Linked DNA regions of Canis lupus familiaris. The protein of the gene in region 5 interacts with the protein of the main gene of each other region in a pairwise test. Links are inferred from orthologs where the notes say so. Each region holds a gene or a part of one and is shown on either strand. Other genes may lie near its edges.

Region 1 (3,926 bases), on a different chromosome or scaffold from region 5:
TAATTTAGTCTTTATGTGTAAAAGTTCCAAACAGAAGACAGTAAATTTGCAAAACAGATTATCCCAAGAGGCAGTACTAGTTGAAAACATAGATTAAATTCAGATAAACTTGTGGATGACATCCAAATGAATCTTAAGAAAAAGTAGGATATCTTAAAAACCATGTTATCTTGGGAGATTTGTGTTAAGAAGGGTAACCCTACTCTACCAGAGCATTTCTCATGATATCAGGAGGTTAATTATGGACTGGGTTTTACTCAGTTCTCATTTATTAAGATTTTATCAGAATGGCATGAGGTCTTCTTAAACATGTACATGTATGTGTGTGGGGGAAGGTTGCTATTTGATAAAACTTAGATTTAATAAGGTGGCAACCTCTCTTGGTAACACCTGAAAAGTCTACAGTCATTAAAAGTTATGTATCTTGTAAGAATTCTTTACCTGGACAATTTTTAAACCATTTCATTGTTATTTGATAATCTTACCTGCCGACATTAGTACAAATGCGGAAAATAATGCAATTTCATCTTCAGTCAGGTGCATAGAACATAAACTCTTTCCAAATTCAAATACAAAGCTAATAAAGTCTTCACAACCTGCCAAAGTTAAAGACAGTTTGGGATTTTGGTTATTACCCTAGGAGAAAAATATGGAATAAGGCGAGGAGGGATCTAATAATTTAAGAACCAAGGGGATAGGGATCCCTGGGTGGCGCAGCGGTTTAGCCCCTGCCTTTGGCCCAGGGTGCGATCCTGGAGTCCCAGGATCGAGCTCCCGCGTCGGGCTCCTGGCATGGAGTCTGCTTCTCCCTCTGCCTGTGTCTCTGTGTCTTTGCCTCTCTCTCTCTCTCTGTCTATCATGAATAAATGGATAAATAAATCTTAGAAAGAAAACAAAACAAGGGGATAGTAACATTTCTACAACTTAACAGTTTGAAATCTTAAAAAAAGAAGAATCCGTTTAGCTATCATCACCTTCACTATAATCCTGACCATTTAAAATAACGAGAGTGGACTTTTGTGGCAAGGTTAGTATATTATCAGGTACCACTCTAAGAGGTTTTCTTTGGGTAACTTATTTCTTCACAACAGCTCTATGAGGGAGGTATTATTATTACCCCCGTTTTAGATGTGAGGAAACAGAAAAATTATGTACTTAAGGTTATACAGGTAGGAAGTAACAGCCTGAAATTAAAAACCAGGCTGCCTGAATTCAGAACCCACAATCTTAACCAACAGAATTAAAAGAATTAAACGGCTACAATCCAACTGAGATGTTACATTCACTGATTTTTTTGTTTTCTACTCTATTTGATCTAAACCACTCTTAAAAATGATAACAAATGACACATTCTGGTGGTAAAATCATTATACCTTTTACAAAACTGAAAACACTTTTCTGAACGTGAAAGTCTCATAACATAATCCATAATCCATCCTCAAAAGATTGGTTAAGTTTGGGGGTGCCTGGGTGGCTCAGTCGGTTAAGTGTCTGCCTTCAGCTCAGGTCAGGATCTTAGGATCCTGGGATCCAGCCCCAAGTTGGGGCTCCCTGCTCAGTGGGGAGTCTGCTGCTCCCTCTCCTTCTGTTCCTCCCTCTTGCTTATGCTCACTTTATTTGTCTCAAATAAATAAATAAAATCTTTTTAAAAAAATGGTTAAGTTTGGTATCCACTCTTTCAGATTTGCATATTATGTATATGTATTTAAACTAATGGGCTTTCCTAAAGTATATGGCCTTTGGTCATTTAACTGTTTTTAAAATCACCTAACAACTTTATCTTGGATACTGTTTTGTTCTTCTTGATTATATTCCACTTTATTTAAATTCCAGAAATCCAAAGTAATTTTTATAGTATATGTCACTTTCACTTAGCTATGCTTTATTTCTCTGATATCCACATTTCATTCTTACTAATGGTTGTTATTGAGAAGTACAGAAGGGCAGACATTTAGATCTTTGCTTGATTTTATGTATCAAATCACATCTTCTAGTTTATCTGAATAACTTATCCTAGGAAAATCTGGTTCTTAAAACCTGGAAGGGAACTGGAAGGTTAGACCATATAAATTTCTTCGATCACCAACTAGATCCAACGAAAACGCTAAACTTTTAAATGTAATCTAGACAAAGAGCGTTTGAGCTGTGTGAATTTCCTGCAGTGACTATAAAGTAACAGAAGTATAAAATCCTTTAATTTTTGTTTCCAAATAACAGCTTCCCTTCTGTTCAGTGAGCTCTTTGGCGGGGCTCCCACATTTTCCTACAGCCCTGATGTAAAAGAGCACCCAGATTTCCTTACCCAAGGATTTGAAGACGTCGGGGCTAGCATATTTCCCATCAAAGTACACGGTGTTGTTCTGAGAGTCGAAGGCACGGCACATTCTGATAAACACCACCTCTAGAGAACCTAAGTGAAGGCAGAAATGGTGTGGATTATCTTCTCGTGGTGAATATTAATCTATTGTGAAGGCACTAATGTAGAGACCCCTTTCTGATTCAGCACAGCGGGGCTGTATGCAGTGGAGCCAGGGGCTTTCTGTCACACCAGCTCTCTATTTAAAGGGACCCAGTTCACCAGTGTAATTAAAGATTCATGCTGAAGCTAATGGAGGCTGTAGTCCTGAAGAGAGATGGAGTTACAAATTACTTCTCTGGCAATCTTCTGTCTTGCAAACAGAATCTATCTAAGTTGCCAGGAAAACGTATGGATTCACATTTATTAAACAAACCAAAACACCAGGGGTGGCCCTTTGAGTTCCACAAATAACATTCCTAACAACTCGCTGTTCCCTCCCGAGAGTCTGGTGCAGTAGAAACAAACACAGGTGACGGTAAGATGGGAGAATGTGAGTGCCCTTCAAATTAATCGTTTCACTTAGAGGAGAAGCAAAATGGAGGGAATGTTTCCCCACAGATAGCTCAAAAACCTTTAAAAGGACTCTGTTTCTGCTAAAAGAAACCCAAGCTATTATCACTGGAGAAAAACTGTTCCCGACACCTTCCTTACCAAGCATTTCTTTAATAAGCGGGTGAAAGCAGGTTAGGAAGAGATCTCAAAATTCACTTGCAAAGCACATACCTGCTTTGAGAAGCACAATTTGATCATTTTGACACAGTTCCATAAATCCATCAATGCGTTTGGCAAACTCCACCACATACTGTATAGCTTCCGTAATTTTGATGGCACACAATTGCCACATCACCTCCCGCTGCTGTAAGAGGAGTGAAGCACATTAGCAGACACGGTTACCCATGCCCCAGACACAGTTTGTTTTAACTGTTCCTATTTTATAAAAAAATCCTTCTTTGGAAATGGATTAAAAAAAGCTAGAGGATTAAAAATGAACACTCGGGTGATAATGATTGCTTCCAAGTCCCTTCCTGTCTCCTCCAATTTTTCTTTTTACCATTTTGGTGGCAAAGGGACAGGGAAAAGATATTATGAGCAGGTGAAAACATGAGTCAGGAAAGCAACACATGCCACTCTCTACCCTTGGGCCTCGGAGAGTAGCAAAGTAGGAACTTCTTTTGAGCAATCATTTTACCTTGGGGGAATTTAACACTACTTTACTGGAGGAAGGGAAGAAAAGGGGACTCAATCATTTATCGTGCACCTGCTTTGAGCTAGATGCTTTATGACATCATTGTCTTGTTTCATCTCCCCATTTTCCATAAATGGACATAAATTCTCATAGAGGTTTCACAGCTAGGATGTGTTGGAGCTGGGATTCAAATCCCAGCATCTCTGACTCTCAATCCTATTTCACATGCCTTGCGATTTCTTACTGCTTTCTGCTTTCCCTTTGCAACACTGGCTGGCTGCTGGTATTACCTGCTTTCTCAAAGGTAAATAATGTGATGTTTTGCTATTCTCTAACCTATTCTGTTTAATTGCTTCTACATACCCACTTCCTAATTTAGTT
Region 2 (3,926 bases), on a different chromosome or scaffold from region 5:
TGGGAGGGAATCTCACTGGTGAGCTAAGTGAAGCAGGACCAACCAGACACAGTGCATGAGGCAAAGTCAGTGTCAGAATAGGCAAGAATGCAGACATCCTGGGGGTGCCTAGGGGGCGCAGTTGGTTAAATGTCTGCCTTCCGCTCAGGTCCTGACAGGAGGTCCTGGGATGGAGTCCCACATCCAGCTCCCAGCAGGGACCCTGCTTCTCCCTCTGCCTGTGTCTCTGCCTCTCTCTGTGTCTCTCATGAATAAATAAATAAAATCTTTTTAAAAAATTAATCACACCTGCAAAGTCCCTTTTGCCATGCAAGGTATCATATTCATAGACTCTGGGCATTAGGATGTGAGCATCTTTGGGAGACCAGTACTTTGCCTACCATGTCACTACTCCTAATCTTTAAAAGTGCTTCCAGGAGTCCTTGATGTCAAGGCAGATCACATATCCAGAGCCTACGCCAATGGGAATATCCTAACCAGTCTCCTACAACTAGCTAGCAATTTGCTCCAAGTTGGACAGGTGACCAATCTGCACTCATCCCAGAATCATGCAGAAGACAGATAAAAGAGGAATTATAGCCAGAGTTTCTGATGGTCACTTTCCATCCCTGCCTGAGAACGGGATGTCCAGTAGGGTGACCAGCCATCTGGTTTCCCTGGGACTGATGGGAACAGGATTTTCAAGGCCCAGGCCAGGAAAGTCCCAAGCACACCCATGATGACCTCATCACCCTAGGGTCCACAGAAAAATGGGCCCAGGGATAGGAAGACAAAAGCTGAGTCTTTGTGAGCTTGAGTTTCTTGATCCAGCCATGCCTGAAGCAAGTCACACTCCACTTTTCTTTTGGTTATATGAGCCAATAAAATTCTCTTTCTGCTGAATCCGGTTTGGGTTGGGGTTTCTGTCCCTTCCAAAGGAAAGATCCTTGAATAATACAGCACAAGGACTTTCTCAGGACAGCAGAAAATATGACAAATGGGAAACAGAGCATCCAGCTGAAGAAGTAACATTTGGTCTCCCTTCCAGGGCAGGGCTGGGCAGGGCAGGGAAGGGCAGGGGAGGCACCCACCGCCAGCTTAGCCTGACGCTCACGCTCCTTCTCTGTTCGGAAGCGCTGCTGCTCAGCTCTCTCAGCTCTGCGCCGCTCCTGGGGCGGGAGGGGGGTGTTGGGGGGAGAGAAGAATGAGGGGGTGCAGGGACGCTGCCTTCCCAAGGAGGTCAAGAGCAGAGATGAGCTAGTTTGAGTGTGGCCATGGACTTGCACCAGTTGCCAGTTCCCTCAAGATTCAGCCTCGGGCCTGCACTGTCTGGGAACCATTCCCAGCCCAGCCCCTCACAGGATGAGGGAGGAACTAGCAGAACCCCACCTCCCTCCACTCACAATGCGCTCTTTCAACGCAATGAGCTCCTCTTCCTCTTTCTTCCGCTGTTCAAAATGCACGTCGATGAGCGTCTGCAGCTCCAGCAGATCTTTCTCCATGCGCTTGCGGTGGATGTCCTGCAGGCCGGAGGGGGGGCGGGGAGCGTGTCATCCCCAGGCAGTGTGGGGGACCCGCACCCACCTGTGCGCACCTCAGAGGAAAGTCAGGGCAGGGCCCTTGGGGGCAGGGATGGACTGGGACAGTTTAGGGAGTCAGGGGGCCGCTGTTCGCGATGCTTGCAGAAGGTGGCACTAGCGACCCACACTAGGTCCATTTTAGGGGATTCCCGAAAGAAGGGAGAACCCAGGGGCGCCTCTTCCTAATTTGCACAAAGACACCTGGAGACTGGATGTCCCTTACTTACATCGAAGTCCACACGTTCCCCTTCTGGGATCTTGGGGGGGATCAGTGGAGGGACCACAGGCCTGATGGGTGGAGAAGGGGAATAAATGAACAGCCTGAGCTCCCTGATGGAGCTCCCCAGCTGCTGCTGCTGCACTGTTTACCCTGGCAGCCACCAGCCACGTGTGGTTGGGGCACCTGACAACTGGCTGGTCTGACTTGCGATTCCATGTGCCATCTGTGAAACACACTGGATTTTGAAAACTTGGTTCAAAGAAATGTAAAATATTTCACTAATGATGCCGCCTATCAATTGATTACATCTTGAAATGATAAAATTTCAGATATAGTGGATTGAATGGAAAAATCCTATGAAGATTAATTTTATCTGTTTTGTTTTACTTTTTAAAATGTTGCTTGTAATATATATTTTTATACATAAATTATATACATAGATTATACATATGTGGCTTGCACTATATTCGTATTGGGTGGTGCTGCCCTGAGGGGGGGTCCGCCCTCCATCCATGCCTTCATTAGAATTCTCTCTTCTCTGCTTTTTAAAACAGAAACTTCACCTGATTTCCTTCCTACTCCTCTCGCTGTCACCTCTGTCTACTGGTCCCCAGAGAGCCCTTTAAAGAGTTTCACCCTTGGGAATCCCTGGGTGGCTCAGCGGTTGGGCACCTGCCTTTGGCCCAGGGCATGATCCTGGCGTCCCATGTCAGGCTCCCTGCATGGATCCTGCTTTTCCCTCTGCCTGTCTCTCTCTCTCTCTGTCTCTCTGTCTCTCTGTCTCTGTCTTTCTCTCTCTCATGAATAAATAAAATCTTTTCTTTTTAAAAAGTTTTGCCCTTTTATTCGTTCACAGGACACTCCCACAAGGCATGTCATTCATTCGAGTGACTTCGATTATCATCAATTACCAAGGATTCACCAACTCTGTCTCCAGCCCAGATTCTCTTTGAGGTTCCAGACTCAGGTTGACAGGTGCGTCCTGACATTTCCTGCCTTCTCACAAACCATGCTGCCTCTGAGCTCACCAACTTCCCCCAGACTGAGTGGCGGCCATATGGCCCAGACCCCTGGCAGCGGTGCTCACATTCTCCCTCCCCTTGCCCCAGTGACAAGTCTGGCCTCTTTGCCTGGGCATCTCCCCAGTCTGTTCCCCAGTTTCCACCCCATGCTCCCCACCCTAGCTCAGGCCTCGGCCCCTCTCCTGTGAACCTTCATGCCAGCCTCCTCCTGGCCCCCTGCCACCTCTGGCTGTTTACCTTCAGTTCATCTTCCTTCATGACTTTAGAGCGGTGTTTCTAGCACCCAGAGCTCATCCTTAAGTCCAAGCAACCCAGCATTCAAAGTCCTTCTCCATCTGGCCCGTCAGATCCTCCAGCAACTTCTCTCCTCCTTCCCAGACACACACATTTCATGGTTCCCTGGCTATGACATGTGCCTTTGTACCCCTGGGCCTTTGCATATGCTGTTCCCTCTGCATGCAACGCCCTTCCCCTTCCTGCTGCATCCCCTGAGGCCTTCCCTTCTCCAACAAGCCTTCCCAGATCCCAAAGCACACCTGTGCCCCCCTGATCCCCCTTGCTGTCTCACTGAGGTCTGACTCCTCTACTCAAAACCTTCCATGCCTCCTCTACTCAAAACCCCCCATGGCTCCACAGGGCCCAGGCTTTCACAGCCCCATGCCTTCTTGCACTCTGCACTCCAGCCATAATGAAATTGGCACCACTGCCCACACCAACCCAGAACTCTCCTTCTTGTGCTCAGATCGCAGCCTCCTTGCATCTCCAAGCTTTGGCCCCAATCTCACCTCCTCCAAGACCCTCCGCCCCCATGAGCTCTCATGGTCTCCACAGATCTGCTTATTTTAGGACTCTCATCATCAGAATGACCTGTGTCTCTGTCTGTTCCCTGAAAGCCTGGCCTGAATCCAACCACTGCACCATGCATGCACCCTGTGAAGCTTTCTCCTTTACAATATCCCTCCCACCTCCTTCAGCTAGTGAACTCTTCATCCCTCAGGACTCTAGCATCACCTCCTCCCCTGGGAAGCCTTCCTTGACTGCCTAGGGCAAACATAGTACCTTCTTGTGTGCTACCCTCACTGTATCTGGGTCTGTTTCACCAACAGAGCAGATGGGTTCTGATAT
Region 3 (3,926 bases), on a different chromosome or scaffold from region 5:
AAAATTCCTGTTCCCAGTGAGCTAACAACATAGTGGGAAGAAGAAGTTAAGGCACAAAGACCAAAATATCAAAACAATTAAGGTAATACTTCAAAAGAAAATCTCTTAAGTACCAAGCCAATACTGGTAAGAACTCCTTAAAGAGCAGTAAAATTTGAAATAATCACCAGACAGAGCTCTCAAAAGTTATTGTTGAGCTGTGAAAGAGTCTGGAGAAGGCACTATGGCACCCTGATGCATCCCCATAGGATAAATGTGTTTTGTCACCTCCAGGTGTCATATGGCCAACCTATTTCTCAAAGGCGAAAGAGCTCACTGGCTAACCACAGCTTGTGCGGAAATAGGCAGGTCTTAAAAAAAAAATCACATAATATGTATGTTTTCTATAAGTAAGTCGTATCAGTCTTGAACAATTCTAACTCTATTTTTATCTTATAATACTTTATACCCAACATTCCAGTTAAGAGCAGAGGTAAGGAACAGCTTAGTACAGAACCAAAAGTGAATGAAGACACTCACAAAAGCTTATGTGATATGAATTAAACAATTAAAGATACTATCTATACCCAGGAGCAGAGTTAGAGATTCAAAGAAGACCTCACAACCAAAATTGATGTTAAGTCCAGCATTATTGTTAAGTGATTTTTATGGAATCATCTTCTAATCCTCTGTCCACATTATTTATCAAGCGGCCAATTTCTTCAGGAATGTTAGTCATACATATCTGCTGATTACTTTTTAGGTTTACATTTTAAGAAATGGAGCAAAATAAAACAGAGTTTTGAATGGACCACATTCTAAAACGCATCATTTGTCAGGTTTCAAATTAGATTTCTGCAATAGAACTAAAAGTACAATTGCAGACCAAGAGAAACCAAACCCCCCCCCCCCCAAAATAAAAACTTACCCAGGGATATGAAACACCTTGTTTTCTGACATCCATTAAGCCAGCCAACCAAGAGAAAAGACCAAATTGCAGTGGTACTTACTTGCAGGTGATGGGGTACTGCATCCACTTGGAGGAGGGTGGCCGTGAAGGCCATGGAGGGGAGGCAGGGAAAGTCCTCCAATGACTGGTGGAAAGAGCAATGGGTAGGGTGCAGCTGGATAGTGAGTCATGTGTCCATTCACTGCTGGGACGGGACATGCGTGGCTACTGGTGGTCATGTTTCAGGCCTCACAGGATGAAAGGTGCTCTGGGGCTGGAACACATCACTTCAGGTCTTGAACCAAAGTGAGGGAGGTAAATATGGGGCAAGGATTGAGTCTGAGCTGTCTTCTGGGCAAAAGGCAAAACAGTTCAACATATGACCTTGCTTCTTCTCAGCATGATTTTTCCACCTCTCATCTTGTTGTGTTGATTTACAAGAAGGATGCCTTTTTTGTTGAGCGTCTCAATTTAAGGCTGGGAAATGCTATTACTTTAATGATTCAGAGCTGCTAATTCTGTAAGGGAAAAAAAAAGATAGAGTGATAGATAATAAATAAATAAATAAATAAATAAATAAATAAATAAATAAGTAAGTAAGTAAGTAAGTAAATAAATAAATATCACAAGTTAAAAATATCTTCTTCTTTATCAAATTATATGAAAAATCTCAGGTATTAATCTAGCTCTCCTAGCTCCTGGCTATTCCCCTATATTGACTATTCTTAAATTCTTATATTCTAATATAGAATCAAATTTACAAATAATTTCACAATAGCCACAACTATCCTATATTAAATAGCCATGTCCCCCCACTCTGGGGTAATCTTTCTCCATATTCCTCATCCTGCTTTAAGTTTTCTCCATGGCACTTAAGTTTTTGTGAGAGTGCTTTGTCAGTCTCCCATTAGAATGAACTGACCAGGAGGGGAGAGTTTTTCTGTTTTGTGTACCACAACGTTTTAATCTATTAAAAGGAAACCAGATAGGCCACAGATACTCAATAAATATTGATTGAATGAATGAATGAATGTTTTTTCTTGCTTCTTTTAGAGACACATTGTTTTATGATGTCCTAACCTAGGTTCTTTCAAGATGTTACATACGTTTTATAAACAAATTCGGGATTTCAACCCATTCTTTTGGAATGAGATGCCCAACGAGATAAAATATAATTCTAGGAGACCCCTAGATCCTAAAGAAAGGTAAGTAAGAGATATAGCCAAAGACCCATGAAATATATCAGTTTCTCATTGTCAATAGTATATACCTTTCTTGTAAGAACACCATCCGTAGATCCACACAACTGCTTTGTGGAATAAAGCAGTTGTGAAATATTATTGTGGAATAATAGTGGAATGCTAACTACTACTAGACACCTGGTGCTGATGTAGGCTGTAGAGATACAGTATGAAACAATGCTAATGTGGATCCTGCCATCACAGAGCTGTTTAGTTTTAACAGCTTCTAACTGAGATCATGTTGTTAAAGAGGGTTAAATTGCTCTGCCCTCACAAAAGACATGCAAGGGATGATCGAGACCTAGGACTCCTGGTGACCAGGAGTGGAAAAAGCCTGAAATCAATTATAGGGTGGGCTGACTGTAGACTCCATGGGCTCATTTTGGTCCTGAAGACCAATATTCAGCAAAAGTCTCAAACTCTAGACTCCACTGAAGGAAAGCCCTGAGAGTAAACCCACATGACACAAAACAAGAACAATATCTCAGGGCCAGCACAGAGTCACAGTCAAGAGCATGATTCTAGAGCCAGACTGCCTAGGTTCAAATCATGGTTCCATCCCATGGGCAGTGATCTTACTTCTCAACATAGCAGTTTTTATTACACAATGGGGATGATAATAGAATTTACTTCAGAGGGTGGTTACGAGGGGTACATGAGGAAATGAAGTAACATCAAGAGAAGAAGAGTGCCCTGTGTGGAGTCAACACTAGGTCAAGGGCAACCCGGGTGGCTCAGTGGTTTAGCACCGCCTTCAGCCCAGGGCCTGATCCTGGAGACCTGGGATTGAGTCCCACGTCAGGCTCCCTGCATGGAACCTGCTTCTCCCTCTGCCTGTGTCTCTGCCTCCCTCTCTCTCTCTGTCTCTCATGAATAAATAAATAAAATCTTAAAAAAAAAAAAACAAACCACTAAGTCAAAGTTCATTATTCACATATGTATTGTCTCATCAAATGATATGCTTCTAAGAACAAGCTCACTGGAATAGACAAGAGGCTTTGGGATCAGGGCAGGGAGGAAGTCACAGCACAGTTGTTTGAGGAAAACATTAGGACTAAAACTTTTGTCATGGAAGAAGGAAAGGTGGGATCCGGGTACAGTGGAGAACCAAGACATATTAAGGCTTCCTGACTTCTCAGTCTGTGAAGCTGGCCAGCTTGATTATGAATCCCCACATTTTCTAATTCATAGTAATTTCCATTTGTTTACTGTGTTGTCAAGCACTTGACTTAGGGGCTTTAAGCTCTGGCCCTTAGAGCTGTCCATAGGCAGTTATCCTCATTTTCCAGGTGAGAAAACTAAGTCTCAATGAGTTTGTTTGTTTAAAGAATTTATTTATTTATTCATGTGAGACACAGAGAGGCAGAGGCATAGACAGAGGGAGAAGCACAGGCTTCCTATGGGAGCCTGATGTGGGACTCGATCCCAGGATCCTGGGATCACGACCTGAACCAAAGGCAGATGCTCAACCATGGAGCCACCCCCTCAATGAGTTTAATTGACTTAACAGCAATGTCACAGAGTCAGCCTGTGGCTAAGTCACAATCTGAACCTAGATCTGGCTACATCTCTGTGCTTTCCCCTCTACCATGCTGTGCTTTTATGTCACTGAGTGCCTGAGGTGTCCTAGTTGTACCCTACAGGAAAAAGTCCACAAGCTGTTGTGATGTGAGTGGCTGGCCTCACTCAGATGACATTCTCCCCAGGGCCTTGAGTCCCTGGCCTATTAATATTACAAATGAATGTCATCAACAGTG
Region 4 (4,500 bases), on a different chromosome or scaffold from region 5:
GTCACTGGGAACAATACACACTCCATGCGTTTTGCTACATCTCCGGAAGAGGTAAGGACTTGAGGCCGCGCGTGGATGCTTTCAAGTCCTTGAGGCCCACCGCCTGGTGTGTTTCGCGCACAGATAAGGTCCTCCCTAGGTCTACGGGAACCCTCGAGGGAAGACGTGTTTCTCCTCTCTGTAATGCACCAACTTGGGCAGTAGCACCCTAGGGTGCCTGCCGCCTCCCCTCCCTGCCTGCTCACAGGGCCAGCAGCGTGGGTGAGCTGAGCGAGTCAGAGGAGGGTTCGTTGCTGCTGCTGCCCTTGCGATGAGCGGCCGCACAGCTGGGGAAGGAGTCAGCCTCAGGGTAGGTGAAGACGAAGGAAGACGTATAGGTAGTGCAGCTAGGAGTACAGGTGACTACGGGGGTGCACAGAGGCTCGGGCTCTGTGGCCATGGGCCCCATCCCCAGGGAGCCACCATGCAGGGGCTCCCAGTCTGCTGCATAGAAGGAACCAGACAGGTCCATGTCTGGCACGGAGCGGGCGGTCTCCGAGCCGCTGGGCCTGGATGATGCTGGAAACAGGAAGTCATCAAAGGGCTCGGCCTTCAGCTCCATGCTGCCGATGCTCTTGACGGGCTCCACGGAGGGCTTGGGCTCAGGATCATTGAGGAGGGGCAGGGTGAAAGCCTCCTCGGACTCCGGGGTGGCAGCTTCGGGCAGGCCCCCGCTCAGATCTAGGGAAGCCACGGACATCTCTTCGGGGAAGCCCAGGTCATCAGGGATCTTGCAGGCAGGTCGGTGAGCTGCCAGGATGAACTCTAGTTTCTCCTTCTCCTTCAGCAGGTTGGCAATCTCGGTCTGCAGAGCAGACTTCTCGTCTTCTAGTTGGTCTGTCTCCTGTATCCAGAGGGACAGAGCAAAGCATAAGACGCGGGCCTACTCAAGGGCCCTGCTCCCGGATACCCAGTCTCCAACTTTCCCCCTAAGTTTGAAAAAGGAGTGACCCACAGGGTCTACCTACCGCTTGGAGCGTGTCAGTCAGCTCCCTCCTGCGGTTCCGGCACTTGGCTGCAGCCATCTTATTCCTTTCCCTTCGGATTCTCCTTTTCTCTTCTTCTTCTGGGGACAGCTAGAAAAACAATTTCCAAAAGGCCAACAGTCAGTAACAAGGTCTGCCATCAGCTGGGTTCAGCCACCCCGGGGTGAAACTGGTCCCTGCAGCTTCCCAGCTTCCTGGCACCCCTGCGAGGAAGCCATTTCTAACCTGCACTTGCGGGCTGGGTGTGACTTGCATTTAAAATAAGATCCTTAGCAAGAGAACAAAGAAGAGCCCGGTCTAAAAGCTGGAGAAGGAGCCTATGAGGGAAGAAATACTACCAGAGTATTTCTTGGGGTAGGACTATCAGAGTCCGGCGTGGGACGGAAATGGCTTGGAGCCAGGGTTCCTCGTGGAGGACAGATAGGTGGTGACTCCATCAGTGGCTTCGCCCTGCCCACGGTGCTCCCCAGCTCCACCAATGCCAACCCACGCCCCCTACTGAGAGAAGGTGCTGGAAGAACCGCTCACCTGTTCCACCTTGCCCCTCCGGCCAATGCTCTGAGCTCTGCCTCCCGTCATGGTCTTCACAACGCCAGCCCTGGAGTAAGCCCCAGCCGAGGGGGTGGGGACTCCATACGGGTGGGGGGCTCTGGTCTGGGACGGGGCCACGGAGGAGACCAGGGTGGGCTGCACCAGCCACTGCAGGTCCGGGCTGGTGGAGATGGCAGTCACCGTCGGGATGAAGTTGGCACTGGAGACGGCCAGATCGGTGCAGAAGTCCTAGAACGGAACAGAGGGGGCAAAGCTGACGTGAGGGAGCAGGTTCCGGACACAGGTGCGGCGGGCCGGGCGTCCAGTGCCGCATGCAGCGGCGGAGAGCGGAGGAGAAGCACGCCCCGGACTGCTCGGGGCTTCTGATGTGCCCCTCGTCCTGGAGGCAGGGGGCTCTCCGTGTCCTCCCAGGAAGCCCGCGACGCAGCGCGTTTCTCCTCCACCCTGCTGCTGCGTCCCCGTTACCCCTCCGGCATCACTCGCCTGAAAGGGGGTTTGTTATAAATATCCCTGACGTCTGCGCTGACGCAGGCGCCGCTCCGGAGTCTCCTGAATGAACTCGCTTTTTATCAATGAAACTGCCTTACACACCCGCCGGCTTCACCCTCCTCCCCCGCCCCTCCTCCCGGCTCCGGGCTGCGCGGGGAGGGGTGGGGGCGGGGGGATTGCCGCTTCCCGTCGCCTCCCGGAGGAGCCAGGCGCTAGTTCGCGAGTCTCGGCCTGGGACACGCTGCGCCCCGGGTAATGCCAGGGAGCGCGGCCCGAGGGCGGCCCCAGCCGGGCCTGCCGCGGGAGAGGGGGGCCGATCCTCGCTAGGACAGCGCGCGTGCGCCCCACCGAGTCCGGGGGTCCCGCGGTAGGGCAGCTTCCCCCCCGACTCGCCTTCCCGAGCGTCCCGCCCCGGAGTCTCCGCCCTGGGGTCGGACCCTGCCCCGGGCCCCGCGGCGGCGCGAAGCCAGCCTCACCTGCGCATTGACGGGAGAGCCCATGCTGGAGAAGGAGTCGGCCGGTGAGTGGTAGTAGGAGAGGGTGTCCCCGGCCGGGGACGCGCTGCTGCAGCGGGAGGAGGACGCCTCGTAGTCGGCGTTGAAACCAGAGAACATCATGGTCGCGGTGAGTCAGGGCCGGGGCGAGGGGCTGAGGGGCGGAGACAGGCCGGAGCTGTGGGGCAGAGCTGGGTGGGAGCGCGGTCACTGCTCGCTCGCTGCGCCGCGGCCGCCGGCTCCGTCTCGGCTTCTCGGCTGCTCGCTGCAGATGCGGTTGGAGTACGAGGCGCCGCAGCACCGCATTTATAGCAGCATTCTATGAATGAGCCCCCACCCACGTCATGGGCGCAACCATCGCGGCGCCAGGGGGGTGGCCGGCCGACCTGCGCACGCCTTCGGCCTCCTTGCCGCCGCCGCCGCCCCCGCCGCCCCCCACTGCCCGTCTTAATGTGGTCCCTTATCTCCTGAGCGATCAGCAATTTGGGTCTCCGGGGTCCCGTGGAGCCCCCGAGACGAGGGACTCCGGGGACGGCTCCCCCCACGACCGCAGGGAACGGCCGTGGAAACCTGCTGACGCAGATGTCCTAATATGGACATCCTGTGTAAGGGGGGACGGATTGACGGGAACTGCTCGCCGGCTGCAGCCAACACCGAGGGTGCAGCGCGGGGGGAGGCGGGGGCCGCGGCCGGGGGAGGGGAGGCGGGAAAGGAGAAGAACGCGAGCGAACATTCGCACCTGGTTCAATGCGGACCCTTGTTCCCCGGGCGGGGTGGGGGGATGGGCCGGGAGCGCCTTTTTACCAGTATACGGCGCCCCGGAAATGTGCTGGGGCTCAGGTATGGGAGAAACAGGTACACAGCCCGAGGGCTTAAGCCTCAGCCCCAGAAGGAATGCGCCGCCTCCACCCCCGCCCCCGGCCATTCCGGATTCTACCCTGATTCAGTGCACCCCGTGAAAGCAGACCCTCAAGCCCCCAGTCCGCAGCAGTACTAGGGCTGTTACTGCATTTGGAAGCAGAAAAGTCGGGAAATCCGAAATAAGGGAATACGTACGCTAACCTACTTTATCTACGATGTTGGGTATTTTAATTTTAATTGTTTTGGTTTTTTATTTTTAGGGAAAAAAGCGCATTTTTTTTTTCTCGGCCATACTTAGGGACATTAGCGATACCGTCAAATCTGAGACGCTAGCCAGTGAATATTGGGCAGAGCCTCCATGCAAGGATATCTGATGGGTTCGTTTGCCTAGTTCTGAGCTGGGGCCCGGGGAGTGGGATGCGATTCCGGGGGTGCTATGTGGACAAGGTGGTCAGTTGAGGGTACCGGGTGGAGAGAGTTCCCCGGGGGAGCGCAAATCCGAGCTGGGAAGTTAGACGAGGCTCGGTTCCCCCAGGAAGCTGGGCTTACTGGCTGCCCACAGCGGGTGATTTTCCAGCGCAGACTTGGGGGGGGGGGGACCGGGGGCGCTGGAAGGACTGTAGCCAGCAGCTCCCAGGAGGGAGACCTCGGCCGCTGTGGGACCTCAGGCGCGGCTCTGTGGCCTGGAAAACCGGGTTGGGGCGGTCGGGGGCTCGAGCGTGCGTTGCACCCCCAGAGACCCCCCCAGCCTCCTCCTCCGCTGCAAAGGACACCTGGGGTCACATTGCCCCAGCCCGGGTTCCAGCGCGCGGCCTCCTCCGGGGCGCGAAGTCGCAGAGCCCAGCGGAGCCCCCGTGTGCCTTCCCCACTCTTCCGGGCCCCGGGCTCGCGGTGGACCCCTGGAAAGGGGCGAGGCGGGACTAGGGCCGCGGGCGGATCCCTCGGGGCGCGCGGGGAGCCGGACCGCCGACCTGCCTCCCGCCGCCGCACCCCGGAGCCAGGCGATCCTGCTATAGATAGTAACAGGGAAGCGGCTGTTTACAGCAACACTGCGCCGCCAGGGCTGTCTCCAGGCGACG
Region 5 (4,436 bases):
GTTGACCCTGGGCTAGATCCCGTGCTAGATACCAGGGGTATAAATCATGAACGTCAAGGTCCTTTCTAGTGCTGCTTTCTGAACTACCTCAGTGCCCTGGCTGCATTCTCCAGCCCCTCTTCCATGGGGAGGGCCAGCATTAAGTGGGGGTCCAGACACCTCCCCTGAGCCCTGTACTCACTTTGGCAAGGGCAGGACATGCCAGTAACAGCATGACCCTTCCATAGAAATCTTGCTTCTCACCTTGGGCTGTGCAATGCCCAGTGCTTCAAAGAGCTCAGGATGCTTGACAGGCAGCTCAATTACTTCTTTGATCTCCTTTATCTGCTTGTCTAATCCACCGATCATCTCATAGGTTGAATCTGGCACCTTCTCCACCATCATCAGTGACACCAGTGGGTCTACCTTGTTGGGTAAGATCTTGTGCAGAGTGTAGCTGTCATTTCTTAGAGCCACCCGGCAATTGGGTGTCACCTGGGTAAGAGAAGAGTTTTAGGAGGTAGTGTGCTAAGAGCTGAGCCCAACCTCCCACCTCACCTGCAGCACTCACATCATTGATGTCGATGTTCTTGTCCACATCTACGACAAACTTGCCTTCAGGATGCACCTACAGAAACGGGTTCGTGACCTTTCCTGACAACCACCAAACTACCCACCTCGCCCAGGAAGACCCAGGAGTCCTAAAATAATAGAAGAGTGTCTTGGCAATGCTACACACACGTGTGGGAATGCGTTGGGCTTTGGGCTGCTCTCTGGGGGTCAATCGTGCTTTTACCTTAACCAACACTTTTTTCTTATCCATGGCCCGGACTACTTCCCCCACATAAGAGCCCTGTTCCTGCAGCAGCTGTAGTTCTTCCCGCAATAGGCGAACTGGATGGGAAACAGACATAGGGGTCACCCAGCTTCTTCAGTGTCCTTTCTCTCACGACTCCATTTGACAGGCATGAATTAAGCACCAATTTGAAGTTTTAGAAGACCACAAAAATAAAGTCAGAATTTAATTTCTAAAGGGGTTACAATGGGGAGAGGCATGCGGTCCCTGCCCGTAACTACGTAACGGTGTAAAGTGTAACCTTGGACTATACGAGAAACAATAAGCACCAAACATGAAGTCTCAAGTCTCAATTTAGGCAGATTCAGACAGACCTTGGACAGACTGGCCAAATGCAGCCTTCCCATCTTTCCCTTCTCACCTTTTGCATTAAGCTCATTCCTCTGTGCCTGCAGCCTCCGGAGATTTTGGCTCTTATCGTTTACAATCAACTACGGAGGACAAGAAACAGCAGAAAACAACAAGAGGTTATGGTCTTGGCCAAGATCCTCACAGGCTGGTACGAGCTAAGTGACAGAAGAGCACGGGGCCACCTGCACGTTCCAGACTGTCCGATATGATCTTAAAGACTATCCTTTCCTCCAGGAGTCCCTCTGGGGCCTAGAGCAGCCATGAAAAAAGACTAGTTGCCCTAATAATGGACCAGGAATAGCAAGCCCTGATAAAAGTCACAGCTGCCTCACATAGTCAACTCCTTGCAAGAAAATAACATGGTAGAGTGGGAACATCACTGAGTCCAAAGCCTAAGTTCTAAGCCCACCGCTGCCAACTAACAGGTAGCTAAAGCTAAGGGAAACCATTTAAAAGGTCACGATGTTAAAAAAAAAAAAAGTCATGATGTTACCAAACTGGAAGTAGATCTAGCGTCCCCTACCCTGCCTCTTCTCAGGACTATTGTGAAGAACAAAGGAAATCCCATGTAAAGGCACTTCAAAAATCATAGACCGAATATGAAAGCTGCAAATACGCCAGGAGTTCAGAAACCGTCCTTGTGACTTTCTTTCATCCAGTGTGTATATTTCCCTTATTGCTACGGTCCCTGCCCCCTCTTCAGGCTAAGGCACTGGGTGGCCCAACTCCTTTTATTCAGTCCCATGGGGTCCGCATTATCCCAACTGGGAGTTTCGGTCTCCCTTCTCGCTCTCACCCTGTCCCAGCCCGTGTGCTACGTCTCATCCCAGCTTCCGCGTTACCTTTTATAAGAAACCCTCAATTCAAACTTCTAAAAGGAATAGTACTTGGCAAAGAGTACCTCTTACGTCAAAATCTGACAGCCAACGATGTGTAATAAACCGTGTATACTGATTACCTTCAAAGGGTGAGAAGTGAGAGAAACAAGAAACTTAACTTCATATACTCCTATCCTTGACCAGTTACTTCTTCCACTGCGCCCCCACCGGACTACGTGGGTTTATATAAACATACTCCAGTCCCTCATCCCCTCCTAGCTGCCTCTGTAGTCCATCCTCACCTGGAGTTCTTCGATCTTGGACAGATAATATTGGCGGAGTCCACTGCCTGCCTTCCCCTCTTCCAGCTCCATCTGAAGACACAGGGTAATTATTAGCCCCCCAACCCCCAAAATGCAAGGGAAAAAAGCCTGGACTTTGGAGGAATGGGATTTGGGTTGAATTCCTCAGTCATCTCTTTAGAACCCTCCACTTCCCCGCGACTAACTCAAAGCAGAAGGAGAATGCCGCCTACCTCGTAAGACTTTCAGGAGGATCAAGGGACAACATGCACGAGAGCGCTTTGTACCGAGCCATCTTCCCCTCATTCGCTCCGCTTCCCCCGGGTCTTTCTCTCCCGGCCCTGCTCTGACCCGCCGCGGGCGGCGCTGACACAGCAGATCCGGTCCCGCGCAGGGCCCAGTCTGGATTGGTCCACCCACCCAACCCACCCGACCCCCTTGCCTCGGCCGTCTGCCCACCTCGGATCGCGCCTGCTTCGCATCGAGGCCCCGTCCCCACCCGGCCACCGCAGCCGCCGTACCTGCTCCGGCCCGTCAAGCGCCATCTTCTCTCACCCACGGCGGCCGCCGGCATCCGAGCCACCTTGGCGCGCAGGCGCAAAAATAGGGGCTTGGGGCCCGGCGACCCTGACAGAGAAGAATTCCGGGTCAATGGGCGGGGTGTGCGTCGCGACGACTACAAAAACAGAGGCCATGATGAGAAGGTGGCTACGCGAGGTCAGGAGCTTGGAAAGGGATGAGGAGGCCACGGAACTCCTAAATGTTGCTCTCTAGGAACTCAGTTTTAGATCAGGTAATCCGCTCACCTGGTCCCAACTTCCAACTTGCAATACTTAAGGACATAAAGAAAACTTTTCGGCCACGCTCAAAATGGCGGAAACTTGGAGCCGGAGACGCAAGCGACGCAAGCGGAAACGGAAGTACGTGTGCTGCCCCCCACGTGCCTCTCTCAGAGTGGTGAAAAAGGCAGAGATTCCCCGTGCTTGCAGAGACAAGTGGGGGACGGAAAGCGGCGTTTCAATTTTTCTGTCCCCAGGTTAAGTGACAGTCCTCCCGTTCCACTATGGGCAAGAAGGGCAAAGTCGGGAAGAGCCGGCGGGACAAGTTCTATCACTTGGCGAAGGAGACCGGTGAGTCAGGGTCCGCGCTGTCTGCGAGCTAAGGAGGGACGTTTTCGATTCTCTCCCACCTTTCCGAATACTGAGTTTCCGTTCTGTAGACGGGGTGGTGGGTTGTGAAGTCGCAGAAATCTCCCTGGGAAAGCCCCCCGCCGAGTTTAACATTTTGTCGGTGCCCCCAGGTTACCGCTCCCGCTCTGCTTTCAAGCTGATCCAGTTGAATCGCCGTTTTCAGTTCCTGCAGAAAGCACGAGCCTTGCTGGACCTGTGTGCTGCGCCCGGGGGATGGTGGGTACACCCGGCACCTGCGGCTCTTTGTGGCTGCGTTGAGGGTCCCGGCCGTGGAGGACTTGGAGTGGCACTGGGGGGCGGGAGGGATACGGCAATACCAGTCTCATGCTTTTCCTAGACGTAGGTCGGGGCACTGCACTTGGTAGCGCCTCTTAAGGCACGCGGTGAGAGAGCCTATTGCCAAGGGAGGGGGAGGAACGGTCTTGAGTTATTGTAGTCTTGAGTTATTTTAGTCGGCATTACTCTTTTCTAGGCTGCAGGTGGCTGCTAAGTTTATGCCTGTATCCAGCCTTATTGTGGGTGAGTAACGGATGGGCCCCCTGAGTGGTAAAGGGGTGGGAGAATGAGATACTAATTGTGTTCTGCATTTCCTTTCTCCTTGCTTAGGGCATCCCTTTGTAACTTTCTGACCTGATTTATTGCAGGAGTGGACCTGGTTCCAATCAAGCCTCTTCCCAATGTGGTGACACTCCAGGAGGACATCACAACAGAACGCTGTAGGCAGGTAACAGGAATCGCTCTTTTTCTGCGTCCTTTCTTTGGAGACACCCAAGTTTGTCTGTCTCGCCATCCCAAGTTCTCTAAAGGCAAGCCTTTTCTGTTTAACACATCTTAAGCAGTGCCTGTAGGATCTATATGACAAGGCTTATGATACAGCTTAGTCTTCAGTCCAGGCTTTTTTAAGTCAGGGGTGAGGTGTTTGGAAGAAGAGCAGCGATGT
Region 6 (4,564 bases), on a different chromosome or scaffold from region 5:
AATTTGTAATAGTAAAACCCAGCAACAATGGCAAAAATAAAAAGGAAAAAAACACCAATCAAAATTTAAAATGCAGAAAGCAAATAGACCCAGAAATGACTTAGCTAACCTGAAGTTTTATTAAAAACCTGTAGAAAAAGTTGAAAACCAATTCTTTTTGTATCGTATATTTCTTACATATTCCCAATTTAGTAGTAATTATAGCATCTCATTGTGACTTTTACTTTCATATCTCCTTTACTAAACTGTGAACCCCATGACATAGGAAATATGGTTTAATTTTCTTTGTGTCCTCAGTGCCTTAGTCACTGCTGGTTGACACAAAGCAGGTGCTCAATATATATTTATGGGGCTAATGAATATATACTCATTTTATTGTAGTAAATAAATATTCATCTTATTGCTGTCCCTTGCCAATTAAATGTATCCTATAAACTATAAGCTCTCTACCCTTAGATCATATAAAATACATTCTAGGGGTTAGCTTTGAACCAATAGCTTCACTTCAAAAGCCTAATTTCCAAAGACTGCAATAATACCCCTGGTGAACATCCCTTAACAAAGGGTAGGCAGTCTTTAACTTGTTGTTGAATGAAAGCTCTTTGTCCTGTTTTGTTTTGTTTTAGAGAGTGGGGGACAAAGGGAGAGAGAATCAAGCAGGCTCCACACCCAGCAGAGTCTCACACAGGGCCCCATCTCACCACCCTGAGATCATGACCTGAGCTGAAATCAAGAGCTGAACACTCAAGGGCCTGAGCCACCCAGGCGCCTGAAGTTTCCTTGTTTTGAACAGCACATAGAAGAAAAGTGAAATGACCAATGTAATAAAACAAACAAGAACTAGGAAAGATACAGTAAAATATAGGGGAGATATAATAAGGTGGAGCTCATTAACATTATAAAGACTGTATTCAAAATTTCTAGAATTTTTTTTTTTTTTGCTAAAATAAAGAAAGAAAGAAAGGAGAAGGGGGAGGGGTAGAAGGAAAAGAAAAGACAAGACACAAAAAAAAACACGAAACAAAGAACGAAGAACACCAAACCCGCCCCGACTAAAGACCGCCCGAACGCAAAACCCCCAGTCCCTCCGAAGAAAGAAGGATAAGAAAGAAGGAAAGAAAGATTTTAATACACAAGGCATTTCAGGGCACTAAAATTTAGAAGAAAATATTTGTTTGTTGAATTTAAGCGAAAAATGGACCATGCCAAATGCAATTTTTGAGAAGGATAGTTCCTACGGTTGGATTAGGAAAACTTCTTGATCAGAAAAACTGTTTTTCTTTCAGAAAATGACAAGTAAATTTCTGAGAACAGATATCATCAGCCCATGCTGGAAAGAGATAATGTATTTTTATATCAAATAACATAAAATGGACGGACAAAGATTGTATTTATCACACGACTTGAAATTGTTCATTGTTTTAGTTTGTCTTTGCTTTCCTGTTAATAAACAGGCTTTGTAATTCCCTTATGCCAATCCTATTACTTGTTCAGAGCTATTTCTGCAAGGGTCATCAATATTCAAGGATCTTAAATCTGAGCTTAAACCTATTCAAGTTCAAGTGGAGTTCTGTAAACAAGCTTCTCATCCACTGAACATAAGCAAGGATACCAGGCACAGAGAACCAAACTGTGAGTCTGCAGGTGGTCTTCTTGATATCATTTTGAAAATTTTACCTTAAAGGAAAGAATAATTATTTCACTGCTTATGGATATGTTGTGTTCTTTTAAAATATTTCAAAGTAACATTAAGTAATGACTTATCTAACTATAAAAACAAATCCTAGATATATTTCCTTCTTAACGAGATTTGCACTAGTCATCTTCACTAATGTAAATTCAAAGTAAAGACATAATTTTAGGTCTGATATTCTAGACAGTTAAAATAAAGGGACATGAACAGGGAATCAATTGTGAAATTTAAAATTCTTCAGTCCTCCCTTTGAGTGAAGAGAGAATTATGGGAAAAAAAGGATTTTTGTATTTGAAGATTTGACTCCTAAGCTGTGAAAGGAGTGTTATACCCAGTGCTAAAGCACTCTCAGACTTGGGACCAGGTACTTAACCAGTCGTGTGTTCTTGGTTTGTTGTTGTTTGTTTTTTAATATTACATTTTGGAAAAAAAAATTACATTTTGGGTTTTGGGGAGGGAAGGGTTGGGTTTTTTAGTCTTGAAAATAGGGATAATAATGTCTGTTTCAGTTTACTTCAAAAATTTAATGGCACAGAAATAATGTTTTTAAAAGAAAAGAATACAGGGATTTTGTTGATGTTTGGTAAATAAAATTTTTCTTTTGATTGTTTTATATTTCTCCAATTTTGCTTCCCTGGGGAGGTGATTATGATTATTAATAAACGTTACAGTTTGCATCATGAAAATGAATGAAGTAAAATTTCCCCACTGTTTTGCCATGGAATATTTTTATTAACTGCAAAAATAGCTTGTAATTACAACATCCATTTTAAATATATGTATTTTTGGCCATTATACATGCTACTTAGAATAACCTAACATTAAAGCTAGAAAAAATTTTAGAGACCACCTAACTCATCGTGGTAATATTTTACTTAAATATGCTGTTTACAAACTGCATTTGACATTATAGGAGTTGTCAAAATATGTATGAACCATTAACGATAACGTCTATAATGGAATTATAACAATAAATGGTAAGTCTTTTTACAAGATAGAAATTTCAAAACAAGGAATCTGCTTTGAGTTTCCAGCAAGATTCCAACATTTCTATTTGCTTCAAAACAATTAAGAAAATGTCTGTATGTAGTAAGAGCAAACCTGAATAGGCTAAAGTCTTTTTCTTTTATTAGGAGCAAGAATTCAGTTATAATTTGGAAGCTTGTATTTTCCCAGAATATTTGTAGCTGATGATACTGGTAGACAAACAGAAGTCTGCCATGCATTCCTGACATACAAATCATTAAAAGGCTCCTAACATCTCCCATCTGTCCAGTCTCACTTGAAAAAGCAAAATTAATTGAGAAGAGTAGGAGCCAAGAAAACATAATGTATGCTCTGCAGTGTCTTATATAAAAGTTTCTATCACAGTTCTATTAAAGTTGTTATAAACTTTAGATACTAGGGAGAGTAAAAGTAATACAGGGATGTTTTCAACAGCATCAAGATGTGTGTTTTACATGTAACATTTGCTTAGCCTCAACCATTTGCTCTACATTTATTTATTACAGCCATTCTGAGGATGCTGTGTCCTATAATCCATTCATAATTCTGGGGATTTAGTTTTATCTTTTTTAAAAGATTTTATTTATTTATTCATGAGAAACACAGAGAGAGAGAGAGGCAGAGACACAGGCAGAGGGAGAAGCAGGCTCCACGCAGGGAGCCGGACATGGGACTCCATCCTGGGTCCCCAGGATCATGACCTGGACTGAAGGCAGCACTAAACCGCTGAGCCACTGGGGCTGCCCTGGGGATTTATTTTTAAAGAAAACTCTTATGATAATAAAAAGACCTGCCCAAAATTAACAACTAAAGGTGGCAACAAAAATCCTGAATGCTGTAACTGTCTCTGCAAAGTCTTCCTCCATTAAACAACTGAAATTTAGAAAATATATGTAAACAGTTATGACATAAATACTAAATGAAAAATCAAATTTAAATCACCACCTGCCATTTCCCACTTACATATTTTCAGAAAACCTTCTTATTATTGTTTTCAAGTAATTTCATGTACATTTTATTAGCCTATATTTCATGACTCCAAATTAATTTCCCCTTTAGTAATAAATCTCTCTATTCTTAAATGCTTTGTGGCAAACAGACCTTACTAGAAGCAAATCAAAGTATTATGATAAGAACTTTAGTCAGTAATAAGATAGGAGAATATAAAACAATTTTGAGATAAATGTACAATATACATGTGACCATGCATATACACACATACATACACACAGACATATTCTTTGGGTGGATGAGATAATTAGGCTTAAGCGGTGCATCTATGCATGGATTCCTAAATAAAATTTATATTAATTTGACTACATCTATTATTAATTTTGAATATTTTGAGTATTTTAAATTTTAATTATTTACTAATTATCATTTTTGCTCAATATCTATTAAGTTCCTACAACTAAATACTACACATTTATATACTTCATATCATTTAATCCTCACACAGCCTATTGAAGTAGATACTACTATTACTCCAATTTTATAAATAAGAAAACTAAAGCAGAGAATTTTTGTGATTTGCTCAAGGTCACACAGCCAATAATTGACAGAGCTAGATTTGAACTCGAGTGTTTATGTATTAATCATTATGCTATACTGTCACTTGGAAGCATTGTAATGCATGGTTCATGCCCACAAGCAGCTTAGCTATTCTTTGGAGGTGAAGGCATACATAAATAAGTCAACTGGAGAGTAATTCAAGAAATTAACTGATATACAATGAGGTAGAAAATTCCCTCTACGTTGATGTTGAACATAAGACCATATATCATTCTTACTAAAAATCTCCAGTTCTCAAAGTCAATAAATAAAATAGAGGGGTGGGATAGAGAAAGAAGAAATTATGGCTTGGGG
Region 7 (4,681 bases), on a different chromosome or scaffold from region 5:
CCTTTTGTCAACTTATCCTTAAGGAACAGCCCCTGATGCTGCGGGAGGGCATAGCCTGTAGGAAGTGCACAGGGGTCAGGAAAGGAGAGCCTGGGAGGTGGAGAAAAAGACTCTGCCACCTTGTAAGCTTCCTTTTCTTCCAGGGCGAGCACCCCCCACCCCCTTCCCCCTCGCCGGAGAGCCGCTTTAAGTTAGGACTTGTAAACTCTTCTGGGCAGCTTGGCGAGGGTGACAGCCTTCTGGAAAGCGAGTGAGTGTGGGCTGTCGACTGGTTTCTGAAGGTGAGCACTAGGCGAGCGCCTGGCTTTCAAGCCTTCAGGCTGCTGGAGCCCGAGGCGATCCGGACTGTCTGGCATAGTGCTGCTTCAGGAGCAGCGCGATCAAGCTACAACCCACTCCTGCCCCGCACCGCCGCTTTCTTTAATTTAAGGGGGAGAGCGAGCGGCTTTTGCGCCGCAGGTCCTAGTGCCGGGTGGGAGCCGACACGACGCGTGGTTTCCGACCATCAGAACGTGGTCCTGCCGTGGGAGGAATGTTGGAAGGGGAGAAGTAAGGGAAGGGCGACCCGGCGGCCCCAGACCCGAGCAGGGGAAGCCGAAAGGAGGGGGATGGTGGTGAGACGGGGCAGAAACAGCAAAACAAAGACTGGGGTGGGGGCGTCTTTCCCTTACAGGTTCTATACTCGCCAGTTGCCCGAGTACAATTTTCTGAGAGAATCTGGACGATGCCGCATGTGACCAAACCCCCAACTGGGACACTCAACCGGAACCGGCTCGCAAGCCCCGGAGCTCCCACTCCGAGTTCGCGGGGTCCATCACCCCACCTGGATGGCTAGCTCCCTCCCACTCACTTCCCTGGACAACCTCTCTGTTCTTCCCCCTCCTTCCCTTTCCTGCCACGTCCCAGCGCCCAGCCAGTCCCTGCCCCGGCGTCCAAGCTCCAAGCTCCGGGGTTCACTTTGTGCGGAGCACGAGAGCAAGCCCGCTGCGCCCCGCCCCCCAGGGCCCTCCTAGAGAGGTAGGTGCTGGCGGGGGAGGGGGCGGGGGGCGGGGGGCGGGGGCGAGTGGGAGAGGTGCACTGCCGGCTAGAAGACGAGGAGCGTTTGCAGTCCGACCTTCCCTAGCTCTACCTGCCTAGTCCACCTGTCGCCGGGTCAGGGACGTAGGGAGGCCCGGGGCTGGCCTCTCCAACTTTCTGTTTGTTGCCAGGCCCCGGAGGGCGTGCGACGGGTAGCGGAGAGCCCCACAAAGAGCCGTAGAGTGGCCAGGAAGAAAAAACGGGGCGAGGCAGGTGCCCGGAGACTTGCACACGTCCCCACGGCAAGCTGGCTCTCGGCCCGCTCTTCAAGAAAAGAGTAAAGTTGTGGCCAAGCAGAAAGTGGGGGGGAGCGGGTCCGAGCACAGCGCGCTGGAGACCCGAAGGTCCCGGCACTGCCGGGGAGGAGACCGACGTAGTGGCTCCGTCCAGCCGGCCGGGCCGTCCACTGGGCAGCGCCGAGGGGACCCAGGGGAAGCCTCTCTCGCCCGCCCCCGGCGCGCCGCCCCGCGGCTGCCAGCTCGCCCCAGGGACCCGCCGCCGCCGCCGCCGCCGCTGGGGGTCTCGGCTCCGGGGCTCACCCAGCGGCCCCTTGACAAAAAGAGCATCCTCGGCCGCGGGGGGCGCCGGCTTCTCAGTCCTCTGGAACTTTCTCTGCGCAACTTTTTCGGGGCGGCGCTCGTCCGTGGACCGCGCGGGCTCCAGCACGCGGACCTGGCCAGGGCGGAGCGCCGGCGCAAGGGACGGGCGCGGGGGCCGATGCAGCGTCCGCGTCGGGTCCCGCGCCCGCGCCCGCGCCCCCCTGCCCACCGCTGCCGCGAGGCAGGGCCGGGCCAGCCCGAGTCCGTGAGTCCGTGCGCCCGCGCCCCCGCGCCCCCGCGCCCCCGCGCCCCGCCGCCTGCCCGTGCGCCCCGCGCGCCCCAGCCCCGCAGGCCACCGCCGCGCGCCGGGGGCTCCCAGCCGCCTCGTGGGGCCGCAGCCCGCGCCGGCTCCCGCTCCACCCGGCGTCCGCGGCCGCAGCCGAGAGCGACGAGCACAAACGGTTCGGCGAAACTCCTGGCCCGGGAGGAAGCAACTAGCGCCGCTCCTCTCTCCAAAAAGCGCCCTCCTGCGTCCCTCCAGAACTCCCGAGAGGCATCCACACCTTCCCACAACTTTGCACGCCCGAGGCCATCGGCAGCCCACCTGCGAGCGCGGACCCCAGCCCCGCGCCCCGAGAGCCCCTTCCCGTGTGCGGGGTGCGCTCCCCTCCCCCCTCCGCAGGGGCCGGCGGTGGCCGGACCGGGGACCCTCTCGCTGTCCGCGGGCTCGCTTACCTCGCATGGTGTGGCCGCTCTCCCGCTCCGCGTAGTCATGAAGCTGCTCCCAGCCCGAACCCCGGAGAGCCCAAAAATCCTGCTCAGCACGAGTGAAGAAGGTGGTCGGCAAAGAGCTGCTCCGCCGAGAAAACCATCCCTTTAGGCGGACGCCGTGGCCGGAGGGTGACGTTTGCCGCCGCCGCCGCCGCCGCCGCTATGTTAACAGTTTTGATGATGGTGGTGATGACTGTTTTGATGGTTGTTTGGTTGTTTGTTTTCAGGAAGGGTGGGAAAAAAAAAAAAAAAAAAAGGTGCTGTCTGGCTGGTGCCCGGGTTTTGTTTTGCTTTTGTTTTTCTTTTTTCTTTCTCTCTAATGTGCTTGCTTTTTAAAAATGCCACCGCCTCCGGCTTAGAAGATTTCTTTTGTGATCACTTGGACTGAGGAGGAGGAGGAAGGGCAGAAGCAGCAGCAGGAGGAGGAGTTGGTGGTGGTTTTGTTAGTTACAAAGAAGAAGGAGAAGGAGCAAGGGGTGGGGGGGGGGGAAAGGAAACAGAAAAGGAAGAAAGGCGGTGTGGATGGCAGAGCATGTGCGTTTTCACATGACATCTGTGCCTGTTAGCGGATCCAGTGAATTTTCACTGTTCAGTTACAGGGAGGAAGGGAGCGAGAGAGAAAGAGAGGAGAGAGATGGAGAGAGAGAGAGCCGAGAAGGGGCTTATACGCGAGGGCGGGTTTGGCCGGGACTCCCAGGCCCCGCCCGCTGTCAGCGCCGCCGCCTATCAGCGCCCGGCAGCGCTCGGAGGGGCCGGGGCCGGGGCCGCGGGGGAGGGGCCGCGCTTCCCGGAGGCGGGCGGGGGTGCGGGACGCGGCGGCCCGCGGCCGGCCCGAGCTGACACTGGCCGGGGAGACCGTCCGAGCTGGGCAAAGGAGCGGGCCCGGCCCGCGAGGGGCGCCGACCCGCAGGGGACACTCACGTCCGACCCCGGAGGCGGGGGAAGGCGCTGCCCAGTCCTTTCGGAGGCGACGGCCGTGCGGCTGCCCGGGTCCCCCGTTGCGTCCGTCTCTCGCAGCCGCCGCCTGCCCCGAGAGTGAGTTCTGAGTGCCTGGCAGCGCTCTGCAGAGTCCTCTTTCGGTAAACTCCGAATTTCTGGCGGGGCTTTTCGTGGCAGCAAAACGCCAATCAATTTCCATCACGTTGAGCGTGACCAAACTGCAGTCCCGTGCAAGGGCCATCCGCTTCCTTGAAAACCATCTTTCAGATGCTTCCCGCCCCGAATCCTAAAAACAGGAAGCACGACACACTTAAGATTTCTTCAGGGTGGTTTTTATTTTTTTTTTTTTAATTATTTTTTAAAAATGTTGTAATACTTTCTTTCGTCAAGGAAATTTTTATTAGCATTTGCAAAATCTCCTGGCATTGCGCTACCTCTATTCAAGGGTAAGAGCCCCAACTGTGGCTACCTCAGTGGTGCCAGGGAGATGGCTGAGGCCAGAGGGATGACTGTGTAAGTGCTGTTTATTTGACAAACGTGTAGGGCTCTAGGAGGGAGGACTCTTAAGCCCCTGGCTTTGAGAAGACACTTCTCTATTTATTGGAGACTGACAATTAAACGTGAGTATTTTGTATTCCTTAGGTGAAAACTGTCATCTATGACCATTTATTTGTATTTTGATAAAAATCCAGTGCATATGTCAAACCTGTTCCTTTGCAAGTTTTCCTCTCTCAGTGGACACAGTAAACACATAGTGATCACATCTACTCCCCGCCCCCATCCCCACCATAGTAGGTTAATTGGTCCCCTACAAAGCAGAGAGGGGAGAAATTTGCTTCTCTTACTCAGTCTTAAGCCATTGAGGCTTCTACTCATTAGCGTACCTGTTGGCAGAGCAGGCCTCATCATCATTCACCTGCCCAAATAATTTGATTTTTTGCTCTATTCATATTATGTCATGTGACAAAAAAAATGCAATGCAAAATTGGCGATTATTTAGTTAATTACTGCACTCTACACGGCCAAGTAGTTTGTCCCTCCCTGTTTAAATAAGAAAATGGATTACTTGCTGAATCCTCCCTAGTGCTAAATTGACTTAGCCCTGCTATATGCCCTTCCATTTGCAAGCCAATGTGTAATTTAGGAAAATTTTAGTATTAAGAGTGAAAGTTGATTGAGTCTTTAATTAAATGAAATGAACAGAAGGAAGTCACTGTTCAGAATAGTTATTCTCTTATAAATACCTTTCCCCTAGATTTGTAATTGACACAGTAGTTAATCTTTTAAGATAATATTTAAGGCTCCCTGGTTTTATCATTTTTAATCAAGTAAAATATATTCATTATAACCACATT

The links.
Region 1: the proteins of PSMC5 (region 5) and nuclear receptor ROR-alpha interact in a two-hybrid assay, tested with the Homo sapiens proteins (3 studies listed by BioGRID and IntAct). The link is inferred for Canis lupus familiaris from reciprocal best matches to the Homo sapiens genes PSMC5 and RORA.
Region 2: the proteins of PSMC5 (region 5) and TNNT1 interact in a two-hybrid assay, tested with the Homo sapiens proteins (2 studies listed by BioGRID and IntAct). The two-hybrid records come from large-scale screens. The link is inferred for Canis lupus familiaris from reciprocal best matches to the Homo sapiens genes PSMC5 and TNNT1.
Region 3: the proteins of PSMC5 (region 5) and RARB interact in binary tests that used the Homo sapiens proteins (3 or more experiments, as listed by UniProt). The link is inferred for Canis lupus familiaris from reciprocal best matches to the Homo sapiens genes PSMC5 and RARB.
Region 4: the proteins of PSMC5 (region 5) and FOS interact in a two-hybrid assay, tested with the Homo sapiens proteins (3 studies listed by BioGRID and IntAct). The link is inferred for Canis lupus familiaris from reciprocal best matches to the Homo sapiens genes PSMC5 and FOS.
Region 6: the proteins of PSMC5 (region 5) and PDC interact in a two-hybrid assay, tested with the Homo sapiens proteins (2 studies listed by BioGRID). The link is inferred for Canis lupus familiaris from reciprocal best matches to the Homo sapiens genes PSMC5 and PDC.
Region 7: the proteins of PSMC5 (region 5) and RORB interact in binary tests that used the Homo sapiens proteins (3 or more experiments, as listed by UniProt). The link is inferred for Canis lupus familiaris from reciprocal best matches to the Homo sapiens genes PSMC5 and RORB.

What each region holds. Positions count from the first base shown.
Region 1 is NC_049251.1:25,739,216-25,743,141, forward strand, and holds part of nuclear receptor ROR-alpha, read right to left. Parts: intron 3,216-3,926; coding exon 3,083-3,215; intron 2,411-3,082; coding exon 2,303-2,410; intron 597-2,302; coding exon 486-596; intron 1-485. UniProt on the Homo sapiens protein: Nuclear receptor that binds DNA as a monomer to ROR response elements (RORE) containing a single core motif half-site 5'-AGGTCA-3' preceded by a short A-T-rich sequence.
Region 2 is NC_049222.1:103,248,677-103,252,602, reverse strand, and holds part of TNNT1 (troponin T, slow skeletal muscle), read right to left. Parts: intron 1,848-3,926; coding exon 1,787-1,847; intron 1,500-1,786; coding exon 1,383-1,499; intron 1,149-1,382; coding exon 1,071-1,148; intron 1-1,070. UniProt on the Homo sapiens protein: Troponin T is the tropomyosin-binding subunit of troponin, the thin filament regulatory complex which confers calcium-sensitivity to striated muscle actomyosin ATPase activity.
Region 3 is NC_049244.1:18,937,119-18,941,044, forward strand, and holds part of RARB (retinoic acid receptor beta), read right to left. Parts: intron 1,447-3,926; 5' UTR 1,168-1,446; coding exon 990-1,167; intron 1-989. UniProt on the Homo sapiens protein: Receptor for retinoic acid. Retinoic acid receptors bind as heterodimers to their target response elements in response to their ligands, all-trans or 9-cis retinoic acid, and regulate gene expression in various biological processes.
Region 4 is NC_049229.1:48,647,371-48,651,870, reverse strand, and holds the start of FOS (proto-oncogene c-Fos), read right to left. Parts: upstream 2,844-4,500; 5' UTR 2,684-2,843; coding exon 2,543-2,683; intron 1,806-2,542; coding exon 1,554-1,805; intron 1,116-1,553; coding exon 1,008-1,115; intron 884-1,007; coding exon 242-883; 3' UTR 1-241. UniProt on the Homo sapiens protein: Nuclear phosphoprotein which forms a tight but non-covalently linked complex with the JUN/AP-1 transcription factor. In the heterodimer, FOS and JUN/AP-1 basic regions each seems to interact with symmetrical DNA half sites.
Region 5 is NC_049230.1:15,140,566-15,145,001, forward strand, and holds the start of PSMC5 (26S proteasome regulatory subunit 8), read right to left. Parts: upstream 2,931-4,436; 5' UTR 2,852-2,930; coding exon 2,828-2,851; intron 2,379-2,827; coding exon 2,307-2,378; intron 1,267-2,306; coding exon 1,197-1,266; intron 874-1,196; coding exon 776-873; intron 608-775; coding exon 551-607; intron 475-550; coding exon 244-474; intron 1-243. Other genes in the region: pre-rRNA 2'-O-ribose RNA methyltransferase FTSJ3, read left to right, coding at 3,370-3,436, 3,607-3,712, 3,969-4,015, 4,141-4,220.
Region 6 is NC_049228.1:19,394,767-19,399,330, reverse strand, and holds the start of PDC (phosducin), read left to right. Parts: upstream 1-1,574; 5' UTR 1,575-1,632; intron 1,633-4,564. UniProt on the Homo sapiens protein: May participate in the regulation of visual phototransduction or in the integration of photoreceptor metabolism. Inhibits the transcriptional activation activity of the cone-rod homeobox CRX.
Region 7 is NC_049222.1:84,343,968-84,348,648, forward strand, and holds the start of RORB (nuclear receptor ROR-beta), read right to left. Parts: upstream 3,074-4,681; 5' UTR 2,359-3,073; coding exon 2,352-2,358; intron 1-2,351. UniProt on the Homo sapiens protein: Nuclear receptor that binds DNA as a monomer to ROR response elements (RORE) containing a single core motif half-site 5'-AGGTCA-3' preceded by a short A-T-rich sequence.